Anolis sagrei: one gene and its partner. The protein of the gene in region 1 interacts with the protein of each later gene in a biochemical or structural test. Links are inferred from orthologs where the notes say so. Each region holds a gene or a part of one and is shown on either strand. Other genes may lie near its edges. The genes, in order: FGF9 and FGFR3.

Region 1 (15,076 bases):
TGGCACAGACCTCCAGAGGTCCCTGCAGCATGTTCAAAAAATTATAGCTGAATGTGTCCCTCCTCCCCCATCCTTGACATTGCTACATTGTAGGAGATGTTCTGCTTACAAAATGTTTTGGGAAGGGATAGTGTCATGGGATGTCAGACCAACACTCCAACCTATACAACCTCTATAAAAATTAGTTATAAAGGTGAAAATCCAATTTACACCATTATATAATTTATATTGGTGTTACCAAGTCAATTACTTCAATAGGAACTGAAGTCAATGACATCTTGAGGGCCACAGGAGGCTAACCAGGGAGCATATAGCAAGGGTATTCAAGGAGGGCTAGGAAGAAGGTAGTGCTGCTAGTCAAAGTTAACAATACTGGAATAAACAGACAAATGGCCTGATTCAGGATAAGGTATTCTTTTGTGTTCTTATGACTACAACCTTTTGAATGATTGAAAAGCAGGTTGCATGTTTGACTAAAGGTGAATAAATTGATTCAAAGCTTTGCTGAAAATGATCCTCACAGCAAATAAAAATTGGGGAATGAAATTTCTGTACATAGGGGGTGGGAGCAGTGCAGACAAGATACAAGTTTCCTTGAGAAACTGGTAAGAATTACCTAATACGTCTTGCTTTTTGTTTAGGTAAATGCAACCATAGGAAATAACACAGAGGGTATTAGTCCAGCTCACTATTGCCTTAAGGCAGGAAAGTTGAGCTAAGCATCTTGACAGATGGCTTTCTAGCCACTTCTGGTCAGCAGGTTCTGCACTTAGTGGTTTAACCAACTGCACCACCACAGCTTCAATAGCTGAATACTTGAATAGCAAGTATAAATTCTGTAGATATCCCCAATTTTCTATCTCCCTATCTCCCTATTAATATTATCCTCTTTCTCATTTTATATTACACTTTTTTTCCTAATCCATTGATCCAAAAATTGTACTGTGGGTTCTTGGTATTTGCTGGGGTTTGGTTTCAAGACCCCTAGATGCCAAAATTGCATTCTTTTCAATCTATATAAATAAAAATGTAATGTTAGTTTGTGGGATTAACATAACTCAAAAAACCACTGGACGAATTGACACCAGATTTGGACACAAGACACCTATCAGACCAATGAGTGATCATCACTCATAAAACACTGAAAAACACAGTGGAAGAGACTTAAAAAGCAAAAAAAAAATCCCAAAATTACATTACAACGCATGCACAAAACCACATATTTATATATGCAAACACACATATACACATATACACAAATATATACATGCACATATACACACACAAAACACATATACACAGACTGGGCCACAGCAACACGTGGCAGGGTATGGCTAGTAGCTTAATAAAATAGTTGCCCTTAAATGAAATGGCAAAATCGAGGTTAGCTTTTTGGAATGTTTTTGCAGGTGAAGGATGATATTTTATAGCCATGGATGGCTTAATCCATGGATGCAGAATTCACAGGTTTCCACAACTGTATATAAATTGGTGGACTGAATCCTTATTTGTATTTCCAATAGAAACACAATAAGACTGAATTTCACAATGACTAATTTGAGTCCTATAAATGCCAGTGGGTTTCCCCAAAGAGTGTCTCTGTTTAGATCCAATAAAATTAATTTCAGAATGACAATCATAGGAGGTACAATTCAGAAGAAAAAAACCCCAATTTTTGTGTCCTGGTCATTTGCATATTTATTAAAATGTTCAGTGGGCTTTCTTCCAAGTAAACATGCTGTCATATGTTTTATATAAGCTGGTACATAATATTGTGCCTGTCACTTGTGCAAGCATCCTAATATAATACCTGTGAACATTGTTAAATGCAAATTCAAAAGCAAATGAAAAAAGACCCAAGCCATCAAATTTGCCTTCTCTGGTCTGTGTAGCCTTTCAATTTGATTTGCATGCTGTGGGAGAAATGAAATCGATAGGTCTATTATTTTTGTGTTTCTCCTTGACAGCTACATAGTAATCCACAGGACTGGCCCAAGACACTTACTATCTGAGGCAAAGGAAAAAAATGGTGTCCTCACCACTTCAGGTATAATGTCTGATTGGATTTATTTCGGTGGAAGCTGGTTGGCACCTAGATCTCACCCAACAGCTTGCTGCCTCTTCCTACCATCTGCTGCCTGAGACAAGTGTCTCACTCTGCCTAATGATAGGGTCACCCATGGATGTCTGATTCAAAATGCAGTTGCCATGGACTACTTTTAGCTGAACCAAGACCATCCTTTTAAATCATGCAGGATCCCCAAGAGTATTGAACTAAATCCCTCAATTATACAACGAGGTCACAAGGATATGGTCTCAAAAGGGTGAATTTGAAACAGTGTTTAGTCTCAGATCCTCTGGAATCCACATGCCTTCAGATCTGGAAATGTCAGAGGCCTTCAGACTGAGAAGAGATGACTCACTAGAAAGGGTAATAATGCTTGGTATGGTAGAAGGGCTCTTCATGACTTGGAAGTCTATCATTCATAGGGTCACCAAGAATAAGAGGCAGTTCACATCAACAACAAACTCTGGCCCCCAAATGTGAACAAGAAGAACCACTGGAATTTCTGCAATCATTTCCAAATGCAAGGCTTAACCCAGTGTTTCTCAACCTCGGGGTGGGACACCTGGGGGGTTCGTGAAAGAGTGTCAGAAAACACAGCATTTTCTGTTGGTCATGGGGGTTCTGTGTGGGAAGTTTGGCCCAATTCTGTAGTTGGCAGGGTTCAGAATACTCTGATTGTAAGTGAACTATAAATCCCAACAACTACAAATCCCAAATTTCAAGGTCTATTTCCCTCAAACTCCACCAGTGTTCACATTTGGGCATATTGAGTATTTGTGCCAAGTTTGGTCCAGATCCATCATTGTTTGAGTCCATAGTGCTCTCTGGATGTAGGTGAACTACAACTCCAAAACTCAAGGTCAATGCCCACCAAACCCTTTCAGTATTTTCTGTTGCTCATGGGAGTTCTGTGTGCCAAGTTTGGTTCAATTCCATCATTGGTGGATTTCAAAATGCTCTTTGATAGTAGGTGAACTGTAAATCCTAGCAACTACAATTCCCAAATGACAAAAATTAACCCCCAACACCACCAGTATTCAAATCTGGGCGTATCAGGTATTTGTGCCAAGTTTGGTTTAGTGAATGAAAATACATCCTACATATTAGATATTTACATTAGAATTCATAACAATAGCAAAATTACAGTTATGAAGTAGCAACAAAAATAATTTTCTGGTTGAGGGTCACCACAACATGAGGAACTGTATTAAGGGGTTGCGGCATTAGGAAGGTTGAGAACACTGGCTTAACCAGAGGATAGTCAAAAAGCTTCTCATGGAGGTTATAGTTTAGAGATCTAGTGCCATTGGCCTGAGAGCCCAGAACTTGGAAATATGTATTTATTGGACTGCAATCTCAAGAGCAGGCATGGACAACCTTGGAACCTCCAGGTGTTTTGGACTTCCACCATTCCTAACAGGCCCTTTCTTCAACTTAAGTGGCTGAGAGGGAAAAGGAAGAGGCTGTTAGGAATGATGGAAGTTAAACTCCAAAACATTTGGATGGAGGGCCCATGTTTGTCCAGGCCTGATCTAAAGGTTCCCAATCATGGAGGAAGAGTAGAGGATTCTGGTGGTAGATAGGTTCTCATGGAGAAAGGTAAAGTTCTCAGGCTCTGTCCATATTCATTCACTCTGGCAGTTGACCTGTACCAGGTATGCTTTTCAGATCTTGCTTGACCATTTATTTATTTATTTATCATGTCAGGAGTGAACCAAACAATTGTATTGCATTTTTAAAAAAACCACACACACAAAGTTTGCAAACTTGGCATTCTATTAAATGTCCTTTGACTAGTAGCTGGCCACGGAGTGCCTCTGATGTTGCTATAAGAGGTCCTCCATTGTGCATGTGGCAGGGCTCAGGTTGCATTGTAGTAGGTGGTCAGTGGTTTGCTCTTCTCCACACTCGCATGTTGTGGACTCCACTTTGTGGCCCCATTTCTTAAGGTTGGCTCTGCATCTCATGGTGCCAGAGCACAGTCTGTTCAGCGGCTTCCAAGTCGCCCAGTCTTTTATGTGCCCAGGAGGGAGTCTTTCATTTGGTATCAGCCATTGATTGAGGTTCTAGGTTTAGGCCTGTCACTTTGGACTCTCGCTTGCTGAGGTGTTCCAGAGAGTATCTCTGCAGAACTTAGAAAACTATTTCTTGATTTAGGGCGCTGGTGTGCTGGCTGATACTCGAACAGGGGTTGGGCCAGAGATAATAATGCACATAATGCACATATCCAATTAGGCCAGTGGTTCCCTTGGTACCTTTTTTTGACCAGGTACCACTTTGACCAGGGACCACTTTGACTCGGGACCACTCTGACCAGGGACCACTCTGACCAGGGACCACTTTGACCAGGGACCAGTCTGACCAGGGACCACTTTGGCCAGAGACCAGTCTGACCAGGGACCACTTTGGCCAGGGACCACTTTGACTCAGGACCACTTTGACCAGTGATCACTCTCCAACATTCGTACCAAAAGGGTTACGAATCAGTTTTTGGTAAACTTTAGATTCGGTGTGGTTATTTGGGGTGCTGATTCAGAAAATTGCATTGGATAGACAACATCAGCTCTACAGAACATATACCATCCAGTAGTTGCCATCTACTTGTCTACAGAAGACCATATTGAATAATCTGGCGCAGTAGACCTTATTTTAGGTCTTGTGGCCCACCAGTGGGTCTTGGGAACACTGAGTTAGGCAAAGTTCATTTTTTCCTTTCTTTGCCAATCTCTTCCTTTCCCAAATTTAGGGATGGCCGAATGGGGAAGATTACCATTAATTTCTGATGATATGCAGGAGAGAAAATGGCTCACTGGTTTCACATCTGGACATGTCACTTGGTGGGTCAGAACAATGTTGTTGGTTGTATGTTTTCAAGTAGTTTTCTAGCCTTGTGATGTGCCTTGGAGTCATTTCCAACTCATGGCGATCCAAAAGCGAATCTGTCACGGGGCTTTCTTGACATGGTTTATTTGGATCTCGTTTGCTTTGGTGTGCCCTGGGGCAGAAATGTTTGACATGCCCAGGGTCACCCGGTGTGGGTTTCTGTGGCTTGGCGGGGATCCGAACCCCGCTCTTCAGAGTCAGAGACAAACAAACAAAAAACCCTTTCCACTAAGCCTGTCGGGGTTGACATCTTGCGCCTTCCCTTCTTGCCTCTTCTTTCTCCATTTCGCTAAATCCCGGGAGCATTGTGTCGGAGAAGGTCCCCCTCTCATCCCGGTTTGACGCGTGGGTCGATCGCGTTGGGCGCGCCTCCCTGTGGAACACGTGCGCCGGACCTTTCTCGGGGCGTGAATCCTGCCCACCTGCGCTTTCCTCCCCATGAACCCGCCTGGGAGTGTATGTGGGCGCTGTTCAGGGTCTGGGGCGGCAGGGCAGGGACTCGGAAGTGGGGAGGGCTTGATCTCCGAGGAAGCCCGCCTCAGATCGGGCCCTCCGCCCCAACTCTCAGGTCCAGGGGAGCAGTAGGTCTAAATCGCCCCTTGGTTTAACCCTGCCTTGCACCGGGTCCCTTTGTGAGAGCTCCCTCTGTCAGCTCCAGCTTCCTATGAAGGGAAATGAGAGAAGCCTCCCACAAGGATGGTAAAACATCAAACATCCCGAAGTCCCTGGGCAACATCCTTGCAGACAGCCAATTCTCTCGCACCAGAGTCATAGAATTGGAAGAGACCTCATGGGCCACCCAGTCCAACCCCCCGCCAAGAAGCAGGAAAATTGCATTCAAAGCACCCCGGACAGATGGCCATCCAACCTCCAAAGAAGGAGCCTCCACCACACTCCGGGGCAGAGAGTTCCACTGCTGAACGGCTCTCACAGTCAGGAAGTTCTTTCTAATGTTCAGGTGGAATATCCTTTCTTGTAGTTTGAAGCCATTGCTCTGCGTCCTAGTCTCCAGGGCAGCAGAAAATAAGCTTGCTCCCTCCTTCCAATGACTTCCCCTCACATATTTATACAAGTCTCTTCTCGGTCTTCTCTTCTTCAGGCTAAACATGCCCAGCTCTTTAAGCCGCTCCTCATGGGGCTTGTTCTCCAGACCCTTGATCATTTTAGTTGCTCTCTTCTGGACACATTCCAGCTTATCAATATCTCTCTTCAATTGTGGTGCCCAGAATTGGACACTGTGTGATTCCAGTTGTGGTCTAACCAGGGCAGAATCGGGGGGTAGCATGACTTCCCTGGATCTAGACACTGATGCAGGCCAAAATCCCGTTGGCTTTTTTTTGCCACCGCATCACACTGTTGGCTCCTGTTTCACTTGTTGTCCACGAGGACCCCAATGCCTGCTCTCGAGCCAGGCATTGCCCCCCATTCTGCATCTTTGCAGTTCCACAAGTCGCTCCGTTTCCAAGTTCCTGGCGCTTCCCCCCTTCCTTTCTTCCTCTTTCCCCAAGCCGCGGCTGAGCCTGAGCCGGGAGTGCCGCAGAGCAGTAAAAAGAGCGAGCGGGCCACTCGATGTCACGGAGGAGGCGGAGGGAAGGAGAGAAGCAGGGAGGGAGGGAGGGAGCGGCGGCGGCTCTCTGGTGCTGCGCAGGTGAAGGTTGCGCGCTAGGACCTGGGGGAAGCCTCTGGGCCTCCCCTCCCTCCTTTTTTCTCTCCCCCCCCCTCTCCTTCTCCCGCCCGCAAGCTGGACTACCTTAAACCCAACCCAATGCCTCTTCCTGCGCCACTTTCCCCTGCGAGCTTGGATGGAAAAGACACAGCCGAGGGGGAGAAGAAAGAGAGCGAGGGAGAGCGGGCGAGAGAGCGAGAAGGCGCCGCACCAGCCGCGGCCCCAGCAGAGGCAGCCTTGCGGAGAGCTTGCCTACACCTGTTCCGCCGCACGGGCGCCCAGCGGGGAAGACCGGCAGCTCTCTGGAGGAGGAAGGAGGAGGAGGAGGAGGGCTGCCTTGCTTCGCGTGGAACAGGAGGAGGAGGAGGAGGAGGAGGAGGAGGATCCACGCCAGGCTGAAGCGCCGAGCCGCCTCCTCAGGATCCTGGATCATAGAGCCGGACGTCAAAAGTTCTTTCTTGATAAATAAGCAGTGAAGCAACCAAACGGCCCCTTTTCTGGATTTTTGGGTCCTTTGGGAGAGGGAGAGACCCCCCCCCCTCGCCTCCTCCTCCTCCTCCTCTTCCTCCTCTCCTTCTGGGCAGAGAGTCCAAACAGCGCATGCTTGGCTGGGGCTCGGACCCGTGAAGCCCCGAGGGCGGCCGGTTGGCCTCTGCGCCTCTTCCCAGGCTTCTTTCCCTCCCTTGCACCTCCTCCCGGCCCCTGATCCATGCGCCCCCCTTCTTCTCCACCTCCTCCTCGGCCTCAGGGCCCCGAAGTTGCGATGCGGAGCCCCACGGAGAAACTCGGGACCCCCCTGCTCCTCCTCATGACGGCCGGATGGGCGGAAGAGCTGACCGCTTGCTAGAAGGGAGCCCTGCCAGGGGAACACACGAGCCGGATCTCTCTCCGCTGGCTCTGGGCGCGAGGAGGATGAGCCCACGCGCGTCCCCCGCGGCGGAGGGCGCTTCCTAAGGGGTTGACCTTGAACCCCAGACCCAGCCAGGAAAGGAGAGCAGGAGGCCTCGGAGGACCCCGCCTTGATCCTCATTGATGGATTAAAGGAAGAAGTCACCTTTCGGCGTGGAAGTGGGAGGGGAGAGTGGCGGCGCAGCAACCTGCTTTGCCTCCTTTCCTCGCGTGAAAGGGAAACGGGAGAGAACCGCGAGTCCTGGCTCTTGGGCACAGACGTGACGGTTTTGCTGCAAGCGAGGGACCTCCCCCCTCCCTCCCTCCTTCCTTCCTTCCCTCTTCCTTCCTTCCTCCCTCCTTCCTCCTCCCCCTCCTCATGGCTCCCTTAGGAGAAGTTGGCAACTATTTCGGGGTCCCGGATGCGGCAGCGGCAGCGGCGGCGGGGGCGCCCTTCGGGAACATGCCGGTCCTGCCGGCGGACAGCCCGGTCCTGCTGAGCGACCACTTGGGCCAGGCCGAGGGGCTGCCTCGTGGGCCGGCCGTGACGGACCTGGACCACTTAAAGGGCATCCTGAGGCGCAGGCAGCTCTACTGCAGGACTGGCTTCCATTTAGAGATTTTCCCCAATGGGACCATCCAAGGCACCAGGCAAGACCACAGCCGATTTGGTAGGTATGGGCCAGGAGGGGGAGGGCGGGGGGAAAAGGGGGGCCAGGAGAGAAGTTGGTGGCTCTTCTGGTAGGGAGGCAAGGGCATGGAGGAGGAGGAGGAGGAGGGGGGGGGAGTCCATGTCCACGGTTATAGTTGTGGAAGAGCTTTGAAAGGGAGGGAAGGGAGCCTCCAGGAGTTGCAGATGGGATGCGCCAGGGACATCATTTTTTTGAAGCAAAGGGGAAAAATCCATAGCTGTAAGTGCACATGAAAAAAAAGGTTGAACACTGTGAAAACCACCCACTACATGGCTACCAGTCTCCTCCCAGTAGACCCTAATCAAGGAAAGGCTTTATGAGAACGACCACTCCTCTTGGCGTCCCCCCAGCGACAGCAAGGGTATCCTTCTGGGCAGCTCAACCAGGAAATCCCAACTGGATGCCCCCCCTCCCCCCCCGAATGGGCAACTTGGAAGTCCCTGAACAAGTGGAGTAGGCAGATCAAAGGACAACCTGGCAAAACCCAAAAGAATCCCCCACCTTGTGTCACTGTGGAGCAGAACAGACAACTCCGCATCTGTGTACTGGTCCACTATGCCCTGCCTCATGTACAGAGGCAGAATTGTTGGAGGCTGCAGACAATGCCGTTGCTGTTGCCCGTTTTTGGTCAAAGATATTTAGCCACCTGCACTCCTTCTATTTTTATCGGTTTTATACTAATTCTGATAATAAATAAATGCACAGCAGGCGGCCAGGCTTGGGTGTAGGGACCAGGCATGGGCAAACTTAGTCCCTTCCAGGTGCTTTGGTCTTATTTCAACTTACTTCAACTCCCACCATTCCTAACAGCCGGTTGAAGTCCAAAACATCTGGAGGGCCGAAGATTGCCCATGCTTGTTATGCACAATCAGTAGTAAACTATAACAATAATAATGCTATTGCAATAATAATAATAATAATAATAATTTTAGGATGGAACCCTCCGCTCTTATTATATATTTCCATTTTGAAGCTGCAGTTTTATGAGCACCTTTAGACTCCTAAAGAAATGCTCTTGACCTCCCTGGGGTTGGATGCATCTCCACTGTAGAGTGAGTGCAGATTGACACCGCCTCAAACTGGCAGGGCTCAGTGCTGTGGAATCATGTGAGTTGTAGTTTGGTGAGGCACCCCTTGGCAGACTTAAACGGCTGAGGGGGAAAAGGAAAGGGCCTGAGGCTGTTAGGAATGCTGGGAGTTGGAATCCAAAACACCCGGAAGGCCCAAATCTGCCCATGCCTGTTCTACGGTGTGGATGCCCTGTTAGTCAGGCATAGATAGATCTCTTGGCCTAATATGCTGGTCTCATCTAGGGCAGACCCACTGTTAGGTGTTGACTTCCTTCTTGGCGATGGGTTGAATCTGCAGAGGGCGATGATACTGGTCACCTCCAGTTCCCATTTGATTCCAGTGGGTCTGCTGCAGAGAAGAGTCAGGCTGGACCCAACTCGGTGAAACTTCCTCCTCAGCCGACGGGTTGCGTGGGGGACGGGACGGGGGGACGGGGGGGGGTCGGGACGGGGGACGTCCCTCTGCTTTTCCTTGGAGGGTGGGGCGGGCTGTGAAGAAGGCCGAGACAGAGAGATGCCCCTCCTCCCCTCCTCCCCGCTCCCCTCCACCTGCCCGAAAGGCAAAGCGGCGCGAGGAAAGACCCCGCCCCCACCGAGGGGGATCCCCTGCACCCCCGCCACTTGCCAAGAGCGCGCCGATATGCGCCTGCCTGCCTGAGATCCGGCCGAGATCTCCCCCCCCCCCCACGCGCTCTGCGGACTCCTAAGCCACGCCGTCGCTTGGTGGTCGCTGGCCTGAATACGCGGGCAGCCCGGGCAAGAGCCGCGCAGGTGGCCGCCCCCTCCCCGCCCCTTTCCCCGAAGCTCCGAAGAATCCTTTCTGTGACTCAGCACTGAAGAGTTCGCCTGAGACGGTGGCTTGAGCGTCCTACTCTGGAGAGACGCTCGGCCGTGGAGACCTCCCTCCCTTGAGTGACCTTAACAGGTCACACTTGGTCAGCCTCAGAGGAAGGCACAGTGAAGCAACCCTCCTCTCAACCCCTTGTCAAGAGAACCCCTTGTGTGCCTTCAAACGACTTGAAGAATGCAGCAGAAGGCTAGGAGTGTGGAGTCACTTGGGGCTCTATGCAGTTAGACTAGGTATGGGCCAATTTGGGCCCTCCCTCCAGGGGTTTTGGACTTGGACTCCCACCATTCCTATTCCCGCTCGGCCGTGGAGACCTCCCTCCCTTGAGTGACCTTAACAGGGCCAGGTTTGGTCAACCTAAGAGGAAGGCACAGTGAGGCACCCCTCCTCTGAATCCCTTGTCGAGAGAACCCCATGTGTGCCTTCAAACGACTTGAAAGCATGCAAGGACACAGCAGAAAGCCAGGAGTGGAGTCACTTGGGGCTCTATGCAGTTAGACTAGGCATGGGCCAACTTGGGCCCTCCCTCCAGGGGTTTTGGACTTGGACTCCCACCATTCCTATTCCTGCTGGCCGTGGAGATTTCCTTTCCTTGAGTGACCTTAACAGGCCAGGCCAGGTAGGCATGGGCCAACTTGGGCCTTCCCTCCAGGGGTTTTGGACTTCCACTCCTAACAGCTTCAGGCTCTTTCCTTTTCTGCTTAAGTGGTTGAGAATGGAAAGGAAGGGCTCTGAGGCTCTGAACCAATCTTCTCAAGAGAACCTCTTGTGTGCCTTCAAATGACTTGAAGGCACACAAGAACACAGTAGAAGGCCAGGAGTGGAGTCACTTGGGGCTCTATGCAGTTAGACTAGTCATGGGCCAACTTGGGCCCTCCCTCCAGGGGTTTTGGACTTGGACTCCCACCATTCCTATTCCTGCTGGCCGTGGAGATTTCCTTTCCTTGAGTGACCTTAACAGGCCAGGCTTGGTCAACCTAAGAGGAAGGCACAGTGAGGCAGTTAGACTAGTCATGTTAGTGCAGTTAGACTAGTAATGGGCCAACTTAGGCCCTCCCTCTAGGGGTTTTGGACTCCCACCATTCCTAACAACTTCAGGCTCTTTCCTTTTCCACTTAAGTGATTGAGGAGGCTCTGAGGCTCTGAACCAATCTTGTCAAGAGAACCTCCTGTGTGCCTTCAAACGACTTGAAGGCACGCAAGAACACAGCAGAAGACCAGGCGTGGAGTCACTTGGAGCTCTATCCAATTAGACCAGGCATGGGCTGACTTAGGCCCTCCCTCCAGGTCTTTTGGACTTCAACTCCCACCATTCCTAACAACCTCAGACCCCTTCCTCCCCCCGCCCCCTCAGCCGCTGGAGAGTTATTATCTGGCGGGGAACAGGAGTCTCCATTCTTTAACCCAGGCCTGGGTAAACTTGGGCCCTCCAAATGGTTTGGACGTCAACTCCTACCATTCCTAACAGCAGTGGAACTTTCTGCCCCGGGGTGTGGTGGAGGCTCCTTCTTTGGAAGCTTTTAAACAGAGGCTGGATGGCCATCTGTCGGGGGTGCTTTGAATGCAATTTTCCTGCTTCTTGGCAGGGGGTTGGGCTGGATGGCCCATGAGGTCTCTTTCAACTCCATGATTCTATGAATGAGATCTACAACTGGGTTGTGGTGTGTTTTCCGGGCTGTATGGCCATGTTCCAGAAGCATTCTCTTCTGACGTTTCTCCTCCATCTATGGCAGGCATCCTCAGAGGTTGTGAGATCCACAACCCTTTCTTTTATGGTTTTATTAGAGCTTTTACGATCATACCGCTGCCTGGAAAGAAGAGATGCGCCCTAAAGCGGGTGGCTGTGGGGAGATACAAGTTGGCCCATGCCTGATCCAAGAGTGGGCCAAATGGGACCTCCCCTGAGAGATGGAAGCTTGAGGTGGGTGGGAAAGACCTGCCCAGGGAGGGAGATAGATAGACCCCAAACAGAGTCCAGGGAAGCGGGAGAAGGAAGAGACCTTGCGCTGGGCTGGGTTTTGCGGCGTGGAGGCAGGAGGACGCGGCTGCGGTCTTGGCGGCCGATTGGCTGGGCCGAGATCCAAAGCCGGGGAGCTTCTGGTGCGTGAAGAGGCGAGATTTGCACACGCTGCGGTTCAGCCCCGCGGCAGCCGGCGGGCTCACGCCGCTAGCAGGTGTACGGCGGCCGAGCTGGTGCTCCCCGCTCCCTCGCACAGTGGCCTTGGCAGCGGCACCGGCAGGAGGCCGCCGCCGGGTCCTAGGCCCCGCCCTGCTCTTCGACAGCTGCCGCTTCCCGCCGCCCTTCCAGGGGAGGAAGACGCTCCTCACAGATCTGATGCAGAGGGAAGGCATCGAAAGATATCCAGCTCCCTGAGTCGCTCCTCATAGAACTTGGCTTCCAGATCCTTGATCATTTTGATCATGTTCCAGCTTGTCAATGTCCTCCATCAGTTGTGCCCAGCACTGTTTATTTATTTACGACATTTATATGCCGCCCTTCTCACCCCGATATTAAAATGTTGCTCTCACTAGACATAGTATCCCAGGTGAGGCCTGATAAAAGTGGACTAGAGTGGTGCCAGGACTTCCCCCCACCTCTGTTGGTGCAGGCTAGAATCACATTGGCTTTTTAAGCTGCCACATCAAACTGTTGATGTTTGTCATCTACTAAAACCTCCAAATCCTTTTCAGAGGTACTCTTTTCACGCAGGTGTCACCCATCCTAGGAATATTTCTTTATTTATGAAAGAAAAAGTAGCCTTAAGAAAGATATTAAACTCCATATTGGACTCCATATTGGATCAAGGGCAGGTTATTATTATTATGTTTGGAACACAATTGGGATATTGTCCTAAAATAGTTCTTGGATTTTTAGAAAGTTCTTTAACGGAAAACACATCTACTACTTCACCAGGGTGGGCAAGTAATAGTTATTGTAAGAGACCAAATGTACAGGTAAGCAGACAGAGCAAAGGATAGAGTTTGAGTAAGGTGTAGCTTATCCAGCAGATGGTAAAAATTATGCCTGCTGCTGCACCCTCTGTGAAATGGGGGTCTGTTCACCCATTTCTAGTTAATAGGTGACAGAAAGAGAGGACATGAGAGGACATGATGTGACTTGATGCATTGCCTCTCCCTGCTATTCATCTTTCCTTGTGAAGCCTAGTAAGGGGAGGTTTGGGAGGAGCTGATAGGAGTTGGAGTCTAACAACAACCACAACTTCTCCATGTACATGCTGTGATGTTATGAATGCATCCTTTACTCCTTGTGAGACTAGAGCAGGCATGGGCAAACTTGGGCCCTCCCTTCAGGTATTTTGGACTTCAACTCCCACAATCCCTAACAGCCTCAAGCCTCTTCCTTTCCCCCTCAGCTGCTTAAGAAAAGGGCCTGGGGCTGTTAGGGATTGTGGGAAGTGAAGTCCAAAACACCTGGAGTCCAAAACTACCAGCTGTCAGGAATGCTAGGAGTTGAAGTTCAAAACACTTGGAGGGCCCAAGTTGGCCTAGGCCTATGTTAAACAATAGTTGTTCCCCTGCCCTCAGTAAATTCCTTCTTTTTGCAGGGACTTGGGAACCTGAGAGCCTTGTAAGGTGACCCCATGTTCCTCCAGCGGCCACCCTCTCTCTTCTATCTCTCTCTTCCTCGGGTAACTCAAGCTCTCCCCCTCCCCCTCGGTTGCTCCTTTTGTCTTTCCACCAGGCTCCGGGGGGTCTAGACATGTGTCTTAAGGCACAGAGGAGTCATTGTAAATTCAGAACTCTGGCCTTAGGTGGAGGGAAAGGCGTGCCTCTTGCTTCAGTTCAAGCTCTCTCTCTGCAGAAGGTTCTTTCCCCATCCTTGGATTTCTGAACCCCATCCCAAGGCATCTAGAGCAGGCGTGGGCCAACTTGGGCCCTCCCTCCAGGTGTTTTGGACTTCAGACCCCACCATTCCTAACAGTCTCAGGCCCCTTCCAATCCCTTTTCCATTTCCCTTTCCTGTTTAAGTGGCTGAGGGGAAAAAAGAAAGGGCCTGAGGCTGTTAGGAATGGTGGGAGTTGGAGTCCCAAAAAGCTGTGGGGCCCAAGGTTGCCCACGCCAGCTCGAGATGCCTTGGGATGAAGTTTAGGAATCCAAGGATGGGGAAATAACCTTCTGCAGAGAGAGTGCTTCAACTGAGGCAAGAGGAATGTTGGGAGTTGGAATCCAAAACACCTGGAGGGCCCAAGGTCGCCCAGGCCTGCTTTAGATGCCTTGGGATGCAGTTTAGGAATCCAAGGATGGGGAAAAAACTTCCTGCAGAGGGAGAGAGAGAGAGAGAGAGAGCTTCGACTGAGGCAAGAGGAATGTTGGGAGTTGGAGTCCAAAACACCTGGAGGGCCCAAGGTTGCCCAGGCCTGCTCTAGATGCCTTGGGATGGGGTTTAGAAATCTGAGGATGGGGAAAGAACCTTCTGTAGAGAGAGCACTTCAACTGACGCAAGAGGAATGTTGGGAGTTGGAGTCCAAAACACCTGGAGGGCCCAAGGTTGCCCAGGCCTGCTTTAGATGCCTTGGGATGTGGTTTAGGAATCCAAGGATGGGGAAAGAACCTTCTGTAGAGAGAGAGCTTCGACTGAGGTAGGAGGAATGTTGGGAGTTGGAGTCCAAAACACCTGGAGGGCCCATGGTCGCCCAGGCCTGGGTTGGGGTTTAGGAATCCAAGGATGGGGAAAAAAACTTTCTGCAGAGAGAGAGAGAGAGAGAGAGAGCGCTTCAACTGAGGCAAGAGGAATGTTGGGAGTTGGAGTCCAAAACACCTGGAGGGCTCAAGTTTGCCCAGGCCTGATCTAGAGGTGGTGCCTCAGCTAAAATGATCAGGTGGGATTGATCTTCTGCCTTAGTCAGACCACTCCTGGAATACTGTGTGTCCCCAATTCTGGGCACTGCAATTGAAGGGAGATATCGACAAGTTGGAATGTGTCCAGAGGAGGGCGACTAA
Region 2 (15,247 bases), about 110 Mb from region 1:
GAGCAAGTTATCAGTGGAAAGCATTTGGGTGAAATAAATACAATAATAAGTGAAAATGAAAATGTGGTAGGAGTTTGCAATGGATCACGAAGATAAGATGAAGTGCTGGATGTTGCTTTTCAGAAACAAATCTCAAAAATCTCCAAGAAACAAGAAAAAGTAATTATGAAAGAGGTAAATGATCCTGATATCTGCTGGGGGAGTAACTTTGCGATCTCTCTGGAATTACAGATATATCTTGCAGATAATCTTTCAATGAGATCAGCAGCATTGACTTGCTCCTAACCACTAGGGAGGTATTGGTCACTGGAATCAAAAGCTCGTACTTTAGGAAGGAGTGACCATGTGATGCTAGAATTCATGATTGTAGGACCTGGAAAATAAAAGTATAATTCTGTAGTTCCCAACTTGTGGTCCGTGGACCACCAGTGGTCCGCAAGAACTAAAATATGGTCTGTAGCCTCACTGTTATTACACTGGTGCAATGAGAGTGACTGGTCTTGCAAAACCCTCTTATAGTGCCAAGGCAACGGGAATGTCGGAAGAGGAGAGGCTGACTACCCACGAAAGGTGCAACAACAAGGCTCCTGACTGCTGCTTCTCCTCCTCCTGAGAGGAGCCATTCCATGTGGCACCGGGAAGCGGAGGCACCTTGGTATCTTCATTTTTAGGTCTGTTCCTGGGGTTATTTGGGGTGCTGATTCCGAAAATTGCATTGGATAGACCACATCAGCTGTAGATTATTAAACATGGGTTTCTGTGAACGAGCAGATGGCGACTACTGGATTGCATATGTTCTGTATCAGAAACTAGAGCTGATGTGGTTCATCCAATGTAATATTCTGAATTAGCACCCCAAATAACCAAATACAAAGTTGACCAGAAACTGATTCATAGCTCTTTTGGTATTAAAGTTGGAGAGTGGTCCCTGGTCAAACTGGTCCCTGTTCAAGTGGTACCTGGTCAAAAAAAGTTTGGGAACCTCTGGAGTAGTCAAACATGAACCTTGGCTTTCAGGAAAGCTGATTTAAACAAGCTCAGGGGAATACTGGGAAGAATCCCATGGCCAAAGGTGCCAAAGGAAAACCCAGCATGGGTGGGATTTTATGAAGGAACTGCTAAAAGTACAGTCAGAAACAATTCCATGGAAGAAAATGGGAAGCATCTGAAAAAGTCCATGTGGCTGCACACTAAACTTAAGCAAGAAGGAAAAACCAAAGAATGAAAGGAAGGTCAAATCACCAAGGAGGAAAACAGATGCATGCCCAAGCTTGCAGGAATAGTGGGAGGAAAGCTAAAACTAAAAAAGAGCTGGGACTGGCTAGGCAAACAGCAATAAAAATGTTGTTGTTTTTTCTAGTATGTTCAAAGCAAGAAATAGTGAGGCCACTTCCCAACAAGGATGATAAAATGGTAACAGATAAGAATGAATGAAAAGGCAGAACTGCTCAATACTTATTTTGCTTTAATTATTTTTCTGCCAAGAGGACTGTGTCCTTCCATGCACCACCAGAGACTTGGCAAGGAATCCAGACTGCAAATCAAGATTGAAAAGGACTTAGGAATTACCTATTTAATGAATTCAAATCTGCAGGGTCAGATGAACTATATCCCAGAGTCCTGAAGGAACTGTCGACATAGATACACAACCACAAGAATCGTTCCTGAGAAACACTGCACAATGAATGAAGTGCCAGAGGATAGGAGATGAGCAAATATTGTCCCTGTCTTCAAAAAAAAAAAGGCAGAAAAGATGACCCAGCAGTCTTGAAGCCAGTTGCCTGATCTCAATACTAGGAAAAATATTAGGTTTTGCAGGAGTCTCATTTTAAACATCTTAGTGATAGTGAGGAGATTAGTTGGTATATTTGCCTTCTATCTTTCTTTTAAAAATCAAAACACTAATTTATTAGGTGTGGAAACACTGGGAAATCCTTTGTCTGGATTTCAGCGAAGTGTTTGATAAGATACCTCATGATATTCTGAATGGCAAACTGACTAAATAGGGAACAGATGGAAATGCTCTCAGATAGAGGCATAATGGTTGGAAAATGTGTTCAAAGAGTAGCCATTGGTAGCTATGCTTCTTGCTGATTTAGAAGTATAGTAGAAATAAGGCAGATGTAAACACACAGTGTAGCTTGAAGTAGCGTGCCTAGCTAGTAGTCCACTGATGTTTCCCTCTGCTGCTTTGAGATCTGGGGAAAATAGAAAAAAGTCCTCATTACAGGGAAGATAACTGTGATGAACCAAGAAAAGAACGGAGCATAGGCAACAGGGCTGGCACAGGAGAGGTGTGAGGCAGCAACCATGGTCAAGTGCCAAATAATACACATTGCCCACAAAGTGTTCACACATTCTTTGAGGAATTTAGATCATTTTCCCAGTCCTGTTCAGACTGGATCCTCCTCTTCTTCCTCCTCCTCCATTTATTTAGGCTGAACTTACAAAGCTCAATGGAACTTGTAAGTTAATTCATAGTGGAACTGTATCAGACAAGCATAGCAAGCTTACTGTTCTGCTTTAATGGTGAAATTATTAATTTTTCTCCTAGCTTTAAATCATGTGAGGTGCTTGTATGGCCCTCCAAGTGTTGACTAGTGCTCCTAGCACAGCCCACAGTAAGAAATCTGGTAGTTGAAGTCCAAGAACATCTGGAGGATCATCAGTCCTCAGCCCTGCCTTATAGACTACTAGTTTGAGTACTTGGCGTTGCCCAGGTTATTTGAGAAAGTCATTTTTTTATTTTACAAAATGCATACTGTTGTGGGTGAACTACAACTCACATCATGCCAGGTTAACCCCCTGATGCTCAATCAGTGATTAAAGTTTGCTCTAGATCAGTGGTTCTCAACCTATGGGTCCCAGGTGTTTTGGCCTGCAACTCCCAGAAATCCCAGCCAGTTTACCAGCTGTTAGGATTTCTGGGAGTTGAAGGCCAAAACATCTGGGGACCCACAGGTTGAGAACCACTGCTATAGATGAATCATTGGTGGAGTCCAGTGTGCTCTCTGGTTCCAGGGTAAAGTACAACTCGCATCATGGTCAGTCCCCTCAAACTCTTCCAGTAGATTCAGTTGGTCTTAGGGATTCTGTGTGCTAAGTTTGGTTCCAGTCTATTGTCGGTGGTGGTCAGTGTGTCTGGATGTAGGTGAACTACAACTCCCAGAAATGAAGATCAGTTCCCCTCAAACCCCTCCAGTATATTCAGCATGCCATGGGGATTTTGTGTTCCAAGTTTGATTCAGGTCCATCGGTAAGGGTCATCGTTTCTCTGGTTGTAGGAGAACTACAACTCTCAAAACTCAAGGTCAATCCCTACCAAACCCCTGCAGTAATCAAATTTGGGTGTATCAGGTATGCATGCCAAGTTTGTTACAGATCCATCGGCTTTTGGGTTCACAATGCTCTTTGGATGTAGGTGAACTACAACTCTCCCAAATAAAGGTGAATTTTCCACAAAGACCTCCAGTATTTTTTTATGGCAATGAGGGTTCTGTCTGCTAAGTTTGGTCTAATTCCCATTTTGGTGGGGTTAAGAGTGCTCTTTGATTGCAGGTGAACTATAAATCCCAGTACCTACAACTCTCCCCCAAAATCATCAATATTCCAATTTGGGCATATCAGGTATATGTGCTAAGTTTGGTCCAGATTCATCATTGTTGGGGTTCATAGTACGCTCTGGATGTAGGTGAACTACAACGTCTATAAATCCTTCCAAAGACCTCCAGTATGTTTCATTGGTCATGAGGGTTCTGTGTGCCAAGAACCCTCATGACCATCACTGGTGGGGTTCAGAGTGCTCTTTGATTGCAGGTGAACTATAAATCCCAGTACCTACAACTCCTATAAATCAAGGTGAATTCTTCCCAAAGCTCTCCAGTATTTTTTGTTGGTCATGGGGGTTCTGTGTGCCAAATGTGGTCCAGGTCCATTGTCAGTGGGGGTCACAGTGCTCTGTCTTGATGCAGGGTGAACTACAAAACCCACCATGTTGAGTTAGTCCCCCAACCCCCTCCACAGTATGTTCAGTTGCTAATTGATTCCTCTCTGTTTGCTGTGTGCCATAGGAAAAGGTAGGATAGAGTTAAGGCAGTGGGCAGGGTCATGTAAATAACACACCAATTGAGGGAGTCAGAAACACATCAACTCTAGGATGAAATTGTCCCCATATGAAAGCCTTCATTTGGGTGATGGGCAGTATAGTGTTCTATTATGTGTATATAGAATATATGTATATAAAAGATGTCAATAGAGCAGTAGGCAGGGAGGCAAATGTGTCACAATGGCTGGTGCCATTACATTGGGATTGGGAATTCCTGCTCTTGGGCTGTAACGCTCAGCATTCTGCAGCAATTGCTATGCTCACCAGGGCTGAAGGAAAGCACTTTCACACCCCATCTACACTGCCATATACTGCAGTTTCAAACTGGTCGAAGGAGATTCATATATTGCAGTTCAATGCAGCTACAATGAGTCTACACTGACCATGTAATGCAATTTCAAATTGCAGTATATGGCAATGCAGTTGGGGCCTCGGTTAATGTAAATAATCAAAGCCTAGCCATCTTTGAAATGCCACATGTAGACAGCTAGGTATAGATTTGGAACTTCAGCAATGCAACGACTTAAACTTGGATGCAAAGGATGGGAGCCAGCCTTCTTGAAAGCAGAGCTAAGATTGCACACCTCAGCTCAGGGACAGGGTCCTCCTCCAGGTTAGGCCCAGAACACAAGAAGTCTCCAGGTGTGAACCCCAGAAGGTCCTATGCAGCCAGAAACATGGAATCTTCAGAGTTAAAAGAGACCACAAAGCAATCCTGAAAAATGACCTGTCAATCTCCATTTAAAGACTTCCAAAGATGGAGAATCCACCACTTTCAGGAGCATCATTCAGTCATTCTGCCTTCTTGTTCTCCTCCATAAGTGATTTTTCTGCCTTGATAGCCTTCTTAAGTAGCATAGCAAAGTAATTTGTTATTTTCTAAATGAGCTTCCATCCGTTCAGATGACAGCTGAGCTACTATTCATGCTTAACCAGGCATGTCAACAAGTAGCTCGTAATACCTGCATGTCAGTATCCACCAAACTTAATTTATTCAATAATGAACAACCAACTTGATGTAATATCTTGTTTAACCCAGAGGGGAGAATTATGCAGCCCTCCAGATGGTGCTGAATTGGGAATTCCAGAAGTCTTTTATCAGCAGAGGCAGCAGGATGAGGAATGACGGGGAAACTACACGTTTCACACCCTTTTTTGAACCATTAGTAACAGGAACCTCATTTGGTGATTAGGAAGCAGTAATCAGTCTTTCTGACTAAAGTTACGAGTATAGTCATTTGAGAAAAGAAGAAACGAGACATGCTTCTTATCTGCACTTCTGATTACTGCAAAAACATGGAATGAGAAGACTATGCTGGGAAAATATGTAATTGATCAGTTCAACTCGCAACAAGTTAATCACCATTGTTTCAATTCACAACTCTCTATATATAAAAGTTAAAGCATGTTCGCATGACTCTTTGAACCAGAAAAGGTGATTGCTAGGTGAAGTGGCCCTCTGTGATGTCACGGGGTGACAAGGGGATGGGAGGGAGGAAGGAAAGAAAAAAGCCACAAAGAGAGCCTGCCCACCCTTGCTAGAGTGTTGGTAAGCCTTCTCAGAGCTGGAGAAGGGGGAAAGTCAGTGGGCAGACAAGTATACTCAGCTAAAGAATGGAAAATGGAATGTCATAGAATCATAGAGTTGGAAGAGACCACATGGGTCACCTAGTCCAACCCCCTGCTATGCAGGAAAAGCATAATCAAAGTATCCCTGACAGATGACCATTCAGCTTCTGTTTAAAAGCTTCCACTGCACTTTGAGTCAGAGAATTCCACTGCTGAACAGCCTGTACAGTCAGAAAGTTCTTCCTAATGTTCAGGTGGAATCTCCTCTCCTGTATTTGAACCCATTGCTCCGAGTCCTAGTTTCAAGGGCAGCAGAAGACAAGTCTGCTCCCTCTTCCTTATGACACCATTTCACATATTTATATGTAGTGGACAGCAAGAGATTTAAATCAAACCTTTAAAAATGTGGAATAAATATTGTAACTGGAGGTCAGCTGCTACCAACAATGCTGTGGATTTTGAGGTATGAATGGAGGGTGAAAGGGAGAAAGTGTCAAGAGGAAAGCGCCTCAAGCTAACCCTTGTCAGGACCGCCTTCCATCTGGAAATCTATGTCCTCATTGCGAAAGACTATATGGATCCACAATAGATCTCTACAGTCACATATGGACCCAGGGCCAAGACAATCACAGGCCCCTTCCACACAGCTGTATAAAATCCACATTGAACTAGATTATATGGCAGCGTGGACTCAGACAATCCAGTTCAAAGCAGATATTGTGGATTTTAGAAAGAGCTAAAAACTTGGTCCTTTCTGTAGGCCTTTGATAATGTTTTCAACAAGATGATATGGTTTTTATATATGTTTTATATTGTTATGTTGATTGTTTTTAATCGCACTTTTATGAATGCATGCCATTGAATCGTGCCAATCTGTAACCTGCCTTGAGTCGCCATATGCTTGAGAAACGTGGGCTATAAATGTCGTAAATAAATAATAAAGAAATCTTTAAGATAGCAGCCAGACAACTATCTTTAGCCAGGGAAGGCTAGATTGACTGTATGGATTTTTAATTAACAACTATTGCCATATTTTATCGATTCTATTGCTCTTGTTAATTTTATATGTCTGCTTTTAAATGTGTTTTGGTTTTAATGTTGATATATTGCATTTTATATGTTGTATGGGAGATGGTGGTAGGCTATAATAAAATATTATTAGTATTATTACTATTATTATCTGCCTTGATATTCAGGGTTATATGGCTGTGTGGAAGGGCCCATACTTGGCCTCAAGTTATTGCCTATGATGATGACATATGTTAGTAGTTCATATAAAACTTGGTATGGTATCAACATCCCCTTTCAATATGTGCAGTGTGACTACGGAATGGCCTTGGACTCTGACTCTAGATGACGTGATTCATTGAAATGGATTTTATTTTATTTTTTATTTTAAACCATGTTTGTAGTTGGATACTAGCCATCCCCTGCCACACGTTGCTGTGGCCCAGTCTGTGTATATATATGTGCGTGTATATATATGTGTGTGTGTATGTGTGTTTGTGTATATATGTGGTTTTGAGCATGCGTTTTAATGTTTTTTGTTTTGTTTTGGGGCTTTTTAAGTCTCTTTCGCTGTGTTTTTCAGTGTTTTTATGAGTGATGGTCACTCATTGGCCTAATAGGTATATTGTGTCCAAATTTGGTTTCAATTCATCCAGTGGTTTTTGAACCACTGTTAATCCCACAAAAAACTGTTAATCCCGCAAAAAACATTACATTTTTATTTATATAGATTGTATGTTGTGAGCCACCTTAAGTCCCCCTCAAGGTAGAAAGGTGAGATATAAATAAGGTAAATAAAAAAGGAGTTCCTGGTGGCACAGTGGGTTAAACCGCTGAGCTGCTGAACTTACTAGCCTTAATGTTGCAGGTTCGAATCTGGGGAGTGAGCTCCTGCTGTTAGGCCCAGCTTCTGCCAACCTAGAAGTTTGAAAACATGCAAATGTGAATAGATCAATAGGTACCGCTCCGGTGGGAAGGTATGGGCACTCCATTCAGTCATGCTGACCACATGACCTTAGAGGAGTCTACGGACAATGCCAGCTCTTCGGCTTAGAAATGGAGATGAGCAGCAACCCTCAGAGTTGGGCACCACTGGACTTTATGTCAAGGGAAAACCTTTACTACCTTTAACTAAGTCAGGGGTCCTCAAACTTTTTAAACAGAGGGCCAGGTCACAGTGCCTCAAACGGTTGGAGGGCAGGATTATAATTTTTTAAAAAACATGAATGAATTCCTATGCACACTGCACATATTATTTGTAGTGCAAAAACACTTAAAAACAATACAATAATTAAAATGAAGAACAATTTTAACAAACATAAACTTATTAGTATTTCAATGGGAAGTGTGGGCCTGCTTTTGCCTGATGAGATAGGATTGTTGTTGTTGTTGTGTGCTTTCAAGTCGTTTCGGACTTACGTTGCCCCCGAGTGTGGGCCTGGTAAATGACCTTGGAGGGCTGTATCTGGCCCCCGGGCCTTAGTTTGAGGAACCTTGAACTAAGTAAATAAATAAATATATACATACATTTCAGTCAATGGAAGTCTCAAGTGACTGCTCTTCCTGGGACACAGCAGAGTCCAGTCCGTCCTGCAGCTGTGGGGCTATGAAGAGGAATGCTTACCTGGAACAGAGTCATTGCTCTTACCTGGAGAACATATCGACATTCCCTGCACCGGCTCCTGGTGCGCATTCCCAGGTAGTCTCCCCGGGGAAGGGAGAGGGGTGAGCGCGCGCTGTGCCCCTGCCTCGCGCGCGGGAGGGAAGGAGGGAAAGGCGACTCCCCATTGGCTGCGGGGAGTCCTCGGCTCCGCCCCTTTCCTCCGCGCGAGGCGGTCCGCGCAGGGCTGGGCGCAGAAGGGCTCCAGCTGCGGTGGCAGAAGGCAGCAGCCTCGCTCTCGCGCCCGCTCTCTCCCTCTCCCCAGGTAGGCACCGCGGGATGGACGGGGGAATTCAGGCAGACTGGGAGGGGTAAAAAGGCGGGGGAAACAACTCACCTGAATGTTCTCTGACGAGGAGCCCTCAGAGTCCTTCCTCTGACAAGTCTCCTCAACCTCCTGGCGCTCGCGGACGGTGTCCCACCCGTGTTGAGGGGGGACCTGGTGCCTTAAGGCTGGGTAGGCGTGGGTTTCAATTGACACTCGTTCGTTTTGCAGGCGGACAGCTTGGCGTCCCTCTCGACCGCTTTTTCTGACTCAGCGCCTCCGCTCTTTGCGGCTTCGCTGGGGCTGAATCCACACGGCTTGCAGATTCCAGGGCCGTGTGGATCCAGTTCAGTCTGCATTCTGAAACAGCGTTATAGAGCTATGCGGATCCAACCTGAGGCCCCCTCTACACTGCCATCTGATTATTATTATTATTATTATTATTATTATATTTGAGTTGTTGTGAGTTTACCAGGCTGTCTGGCCATGTCCCAGAAGCATTCTCTCCTGATGTTTCGCCTACATCTATGGCAGGCATCCCTAGAGGTTGTGAGTTGTGAGTTTTCCAGACTGTATGGCTATGTTCCAGAAGCATTCTCTCCTGACATTTCTCCTGCATCTATGGCAGGCATCTTCAGAGGTTGTAAGTTGTTGTGAATCTTCCAGACTGTCTGGCCATGTTCCAGAAGCATTCTCTCCTGACAATTCGCCTGCATCTATGGCAGGCATCTTCAGAGGTTGTGAGTTTTCCAGACTGTATGGCTATGTTCCAGAAGCATTCTCTCCTGACATTTCTCCTGCATCTATGGCAGGCAACCCCAGCGGTTGTGAGTTGTTGTGAGTTTTCCAGACTGTGTGGCTATGTTCTGGAAGCATTCTCTCCTGACATTTCGCCTGCATCTATGGCAGGCATCCTCAGAGGTTGTGAGTTGTTGTGAGTTTTCCAGACTGTATGGCTATGTTCCGGAAGCATTCTCTCCTGACATTTCGCCTGCATCTATGGCAGGCATCTTCAGAGGTTGTAAGTTGTTGTGAGTTTTCCAGATTGTCTGGCCATGTTCCAGAAGCATTCTCTCCTGATGTTTCGCCTACATCTATGGCAGGCATCCCCAGAGGTTGTGAGTTGTGAGTTTTCCAGACTCTATGGCTATGTTCCAGAAGCATTCTCCCTGACATTTTGCCTGCAACTATGGCAGGCATCCCCAGAGGTTGGCAGGCATCCCCACAGGCCTTGGCCATTGTAAGCCGCATCGAGTCCTTCTGGAGATTTTGCAGGGTATAAATAAAGTTAATAATAATAATAATAATTGTGAGTTGTGAGTTTTCCAGATTATATGGCTATGGTCTGGAAGCATTCTCCCCTGACATTTAGCCTGCATCTAAGGCAAGGCATCCCTAGAAGTTGTGAGATCTCACAACCTCTGAGAATGTTTGCCCTAGATGCAGGCAAAACATCAGGAGAGAATGCTTCTGGAACATGGCCATACAGCCTGGAAAACTCACAACAACCCAGTGATTCTGACCATGAAAGCCTTTGAAATATATTATTATATTTATTTATTTATACCCTGCTTTATCTCCCCAAAGGGGATTCAAAGCGGCTTGACATGAAAAGCATTGGCATAAAAATGTATACAATCCAGATTATCTGATTTGAACTGGATTGTATGGCGGTGTCAACCCGGGGGTGAATGTAAATAAAAGAGAGGGAATGTATAGTACATGTCTATATAACTGTATTTTTTTCTCAAATAAAAGTTTATTAATAAAATAAAATAAGTAATCCAGTTCAGAACAGATAATCTGGATTTCATAAGGCAGTATAGGGATACCTGGCCCATCGCTGGAGGTCAAAGTAAGAGTCAATCCCATAGAAGAAATGTCAGAAACTGCATAGTTTTCACATGTGGCAATGAGAGCGGAGAATGTCCCCTTCAAACATCCCTCATCTTAAACCTTATCAAGGGGAGACCTGTGGCACGTGGAAGCTTCCAGACCTTAGGTTAAAAACCAAAACTACTTAGTGTATTGCGTTGTCGAAGGCTTTCATGGCAGGAATCACTGGGTTGCTGTGAGTTTTTCAGGCTGTGTAGCCGTGTTTCAGACCGCTTCTGGAACATGGCCATATAGCCTGGAAAACTCACAGCAACCCAGTTAATGTGTTGTCGAAACTTTCACAGCTGGAATCACTGGGGTGTTGTGTGGTTTCCGGGCTGTCCGGCCGTATTCTAACAGCATTTTCTCCTGGTGTTTCGCCTGCATCTGTGGCTGGCATCTTCAGCGGGTCTGAAGTGGAGTATATATACCTGTGGAATGTCCAGCGCAGGAGAAGAAAACCATTCTCTGTTAACCAATGTCAAGGGTGCAGTTAGCAAGCTTGATTTGCAACCGACTGGAAGCACTCAGATGTCTGCCTGTTGTGTCTTCTTGCAGGGTGTAGCCAGACCTTGTGGGGCCCAAAAGGAGGCCCTCCAATCCAGCCGAAGGGGCAGCATGCATCTGGAGGATGGCTGAGGCTGGCCACCACAGCAGCACCACAATCACTGCCCAGGGTGGCTCCTCTGGGCAAGGAATGCCTGCAGTGTGGGGAGCACTGCTTTGCTTTTTCCTGGTGGCAACCGTCAGCAGCCTCCCCTCAGCCCGACCATCCGCTTCGGACCCTGAAAACAGGTTTACCAGAGAGCCATCAGGTAAGAAAGTTTGTGGAACAGAAGAGCTATTTCCACCCTCCGCTATGAGCCATGTGCTGTTTCTTGCTGGGATCTCTAGCTATCCTTTTACCTTCCTGTCCCTTTGCCATCAACAGCCCTTGCATTCAGTCTGTCAAATGTACTGTGTTACAGACAAGGTAGCACGAAGGAACTGCTCCTGTTTGGCTGGCTAGTCTAGTAGTTATCTGCTCCTCCTGAGCATGCCCCAGTTTCAAGTTGGGAGAAACATAGATTACTTTTGCAACTGATGGAATCATGCTGGAGTTTGGAAACATTTCCTGTTCCTGATTTGAAAGTGTTTTTTCCTATTTAATTGTACAATACTTACTTTGAAAGTCATTGTTATAGTTCAGAAACTTTGTTTTTGTGTCTGCCAGAAACTGTGTTGAATTGGTTGAGACTGTGAAAATGCAGAGTGTACTGCAGGATGTTCCACAAAACAAAGCTTTTGCAGTTGAATAAACTTTTCCCATGTTTTTATGATAGAATCAATTTGGACATGGCATTTATTACCCAAGAAGAAAAATTGTGTTACATAATATCAATGTAACAGTTTAGTGATAGAAGGTCAGTCTTTTGTACAGTAAAGGTTCCCCTCGACATTAAGTCTAGTCAAGTCCGAGTCGGGGCAGGAGGTGTGCTCATCTCCATTTCTAAGCTGAAGAGCTGGGGTTATCCACAGATGCCTCCTAGGTCATGTGGCCAGCATGAATGCATGGAGTGCCCTTACCTTCCCAGTGTAGCGGTACCTAAGGCCGTTGAATCCATGACAGAGAATCTGTGAACATAGAAGGCCAACTAAATATATGTTTTACTTTCTGGTTGGTGCTCTTTAGTTTTTATGCCATTTGGGTCCCCAGATATTATTGAATGACAATGCATTTTGGATTATCTGCCATGCGGACTGGGAATAATAGGGATTGCAGCCCAACAGCACTTGTGGCTCTGAGGTTGGGGAAAAGTCAAAGGACATTTTAAAGTCAGGCATCATATACAAAAGCCTTGTAACTAAATTCAAACCCCACTCTCCTGACTAAATAGACCAAACTGGAGTCTTCTAATGCTGCTATATCACAATTATCCTCAGCTTTAGTCATGATGTCTAATGCTGAGGAATACAGAAGTTATAGTCCAGCATCTGAATTGCCATATAAAATGACATGACAAGATATTTTGGCTCATGGGCCTTGAGTTTGACACATGCGCTTTAAAGCCTTTGCAATTCACTTTCAAATGGCAGCAGTCATCCCCATGCATGCACACATACACATTTTGAACAATTTCACCAATATTACTGTGCACACTTTCTCTTTTGCTTCTGTGGAAATAAAATGCTAGTGTCCCCTTCTGCCTTGCTGTAGGGGTGGGAGTTGGGGAGATGTGGTGGCTCTAGCTGTACACCTCTTCTTGTATGAAGTAGCTGAAGTTTGTAGCTTCTCTGAGAAAAGGTAGTCCTTATTCTGTTGGTGCTTTGTGTTTTGAAGTAATTGTTGTTGTAAAAGAATAATGAACTATTTTTCTGGTATTCACTGTATGTGCACACACTCATCACTTGTCCTTTTCTAAGGTTCGGGTAAATTCCTCTGCCCTTCACAGTGGTCTGAAAAGTAGCCTCTTGTCAGTTTGCAAACGAATTAATCCAGCAGAAATATTTCAGTACCAGGCTGGCCATTGGTCAAACTCAAGGCTCTTCCAGGCAAGCCTTATATCCCAGGATATGATACCAGGTTTTCTGCTTTAAACTGGGTTATATGAGTCCGCACTGCCAGATAATCTGGGATAAACAGAAAACCTGGGATCCAATCCTGGAAAATAGGGCCTGCCTGGAAGGGCCCTCAGCCCCACCCCCTATAACAGTTACTTTTAAACATCTAAGTAGCTCAGGCCCGTAGCCAGGATTTTGATTCGGGGGGGGGGGGGGGGCTGAGTCTGAGTGAGGGAGGATCTACCCTAGCAAACTTTAAGTGATTTCTGTTTTTGAAACAGTGAATGTTCAAACCATGCAAAAATAAGCGTTTTCTTCTTTTAAATTGTTAAATTCTTCATTAAACAACACCTACCATAAATGCAACGCAACTTATCACGGCCCTTGCTAGCACGCAAACTATAGGCTGCTGGTCCTCAGAAATCTTTCAGGAAAGAAAGAAACAGGTGCAGCCAATGGACACAAATGTACTACCAGGTGTACTACCAGATTCTGACTCCACTCTTTAATACCCTGAGAAGCACTTCCTTAATGTGAGACCATTTTCTGATATCATGTGTGACGCATTTGGATTTTGTAGTGTGATACCTTTCAGTATTATATTGAAGCTTATAAAGGAAGCAATGGAGAGGCAAAATTGTGCTGTTGTGCTTGGAAAAACTGAACATTGAAATAAGCCAGATTGTAGATATTTGTGCTTAATGTTTTACATGCGCAACTGTCTTTGTGCACTGTATTGCCAACTATTGTAGCAAGCTGCTTAAACTAGGAAAGTGTTTATTACAATCTCCAAAAGTTTCCTTTCAGTGCACAATAACAGTTAGAAGCAACAATCTTTAACACAAAGGCTATTTGGGGAAAAAATATCAGTCGACAAAATTTAGTGTATTTCGACAAGCACTGTAAGCATATCTCACTAGGGAAAAACCCAGTTTGACATAGTGAGGCGTTACTGTTTGGTAAATGGAGCTTCACAGGACAGTGATGCCCTTTTATTGGGAAAACAATAAAAAGTGTAGAAAGTAGAATCCAGTTTCTCCCCCACCCCTTTCTTTCATCCTCAAATTAGCATATCTGGGGGGAAAGCTGACATATTTTTTGTTATAAAAATAAAACAGCTAGGGTAAATATATTCCGTAGCAACTCAGAATAGGGGCAGTGTTTCTACATCATATCTGGTTAGAGCCCTAATTTTGCTTTCTGGAGGTTTTGGTAAAATGCTAGGTTCCTTTTGGTATATTTTCTTAGCCATGCTTGAAGCATTATGATGATGTGCCAGCAGATTTTAAAGAATTTTCTTTCTTAGTCCTAGTGAATTAATTTTGATTGGAATTACTTAGATTTAGGTAAAGGTAAAGGTTTTCCCTGACATTAAGTCTAGTCATGTCTGACTCTGGGGGGTGGTCCCATCTCCATTTCAAAGCCAAAGAGCTGACGTTGTCTGTAGAAACCTTCAAGGTCATGTGGCCAACATGTCTGTATGGAGCACCGTTACCTTGCTGCTGGAGCAGTACTCACATTTGCATGTTTTCAGACTACTAGGTTGGCAGGAGCTGGGGCTAACAGCAGGAGCTCACTCCGCTCCCTGGATTCGAACCGCCAACTTTTTGGTCAGCAAGTTCAGCAGCTCAGTGCTTTAACCTGTTGCACCATGGAGGTCTCCTAGATTTAGATTAGCACTGATTCAAAGGTTTTTGTTTTTTTAAAAAAAATTGCAAACATAACCTATAGCATTAAAATCTTTCTTGTCGTTGGGACAGAAATCCCATATTTATTTTGGAAATAAATCTCATTGCTAGAATAGAATTTAGACATAAGCATTTCTAAAGCAGGGGTTTCCCCTGCCTCAGTTCCCATATTGCTGCCACCATTGGAAGTACAATAAAACTCATACTGACCTCTATTAATGAATGGTCTAATTTTTTTCAAACTTTTGACAGAATCTATCTTAGTAGCATTAGAGTCTTAAAAAATGTGTTTGATGGAAGCAGTTTTAGCTTTTTTTCTATTTCTAGAGAGGTGTAACTGGCCACCTTTGTGAACTCAGTTCCATATCATGCAGTGAACTGGCTTCTTAACAAATGATTGTGCTTTTTAAGATATGCTCATAAATGTAAATACAACAAACATGTCACATCATGAGACAGGATTAAGTGTGGCAAGTATATATGAGGCAATGAGCCTGGATTTTCTGCTGTATAAAACAGTCTCCCATATGAACAAT

What was found.
Region 2: the proteins of FGF9 (region 1) and FGFR3 form a complex in vitro, tested with the Homo sapiens proteins (3 studies listed by BioGRID and IntAct, with this or other methods). The link is inferred for Anolis sagrei from reciprocal best matches to the Homo sapiens genes FGF9 and FGFR3.

What each region holds. Positions count from the first base shown.
Region 1 is NC_090023.1:28,764,355-28,779,430, forward strand, and holds the start of FGF9 (fibroblast growth factor 9), read left to right. Parts: upstream 1-6,639; 5' UTR 6,640-7,884; coding exon 7,885-8,176; intron 8,177-15,076.
Region 2 is NC_090023.1:142,748,016-142,763,262, reverse strand, and holds the start of FGFR3 (fibroblast growth factor receptor 3), read left to right. Parts: upstream 1-8,535; 5' UTR 8,536-8,607; intron 8,608-11,040; 5' UTR 11,041-11,113; coding exon 11,114-11,297; intron 11,298-15,247.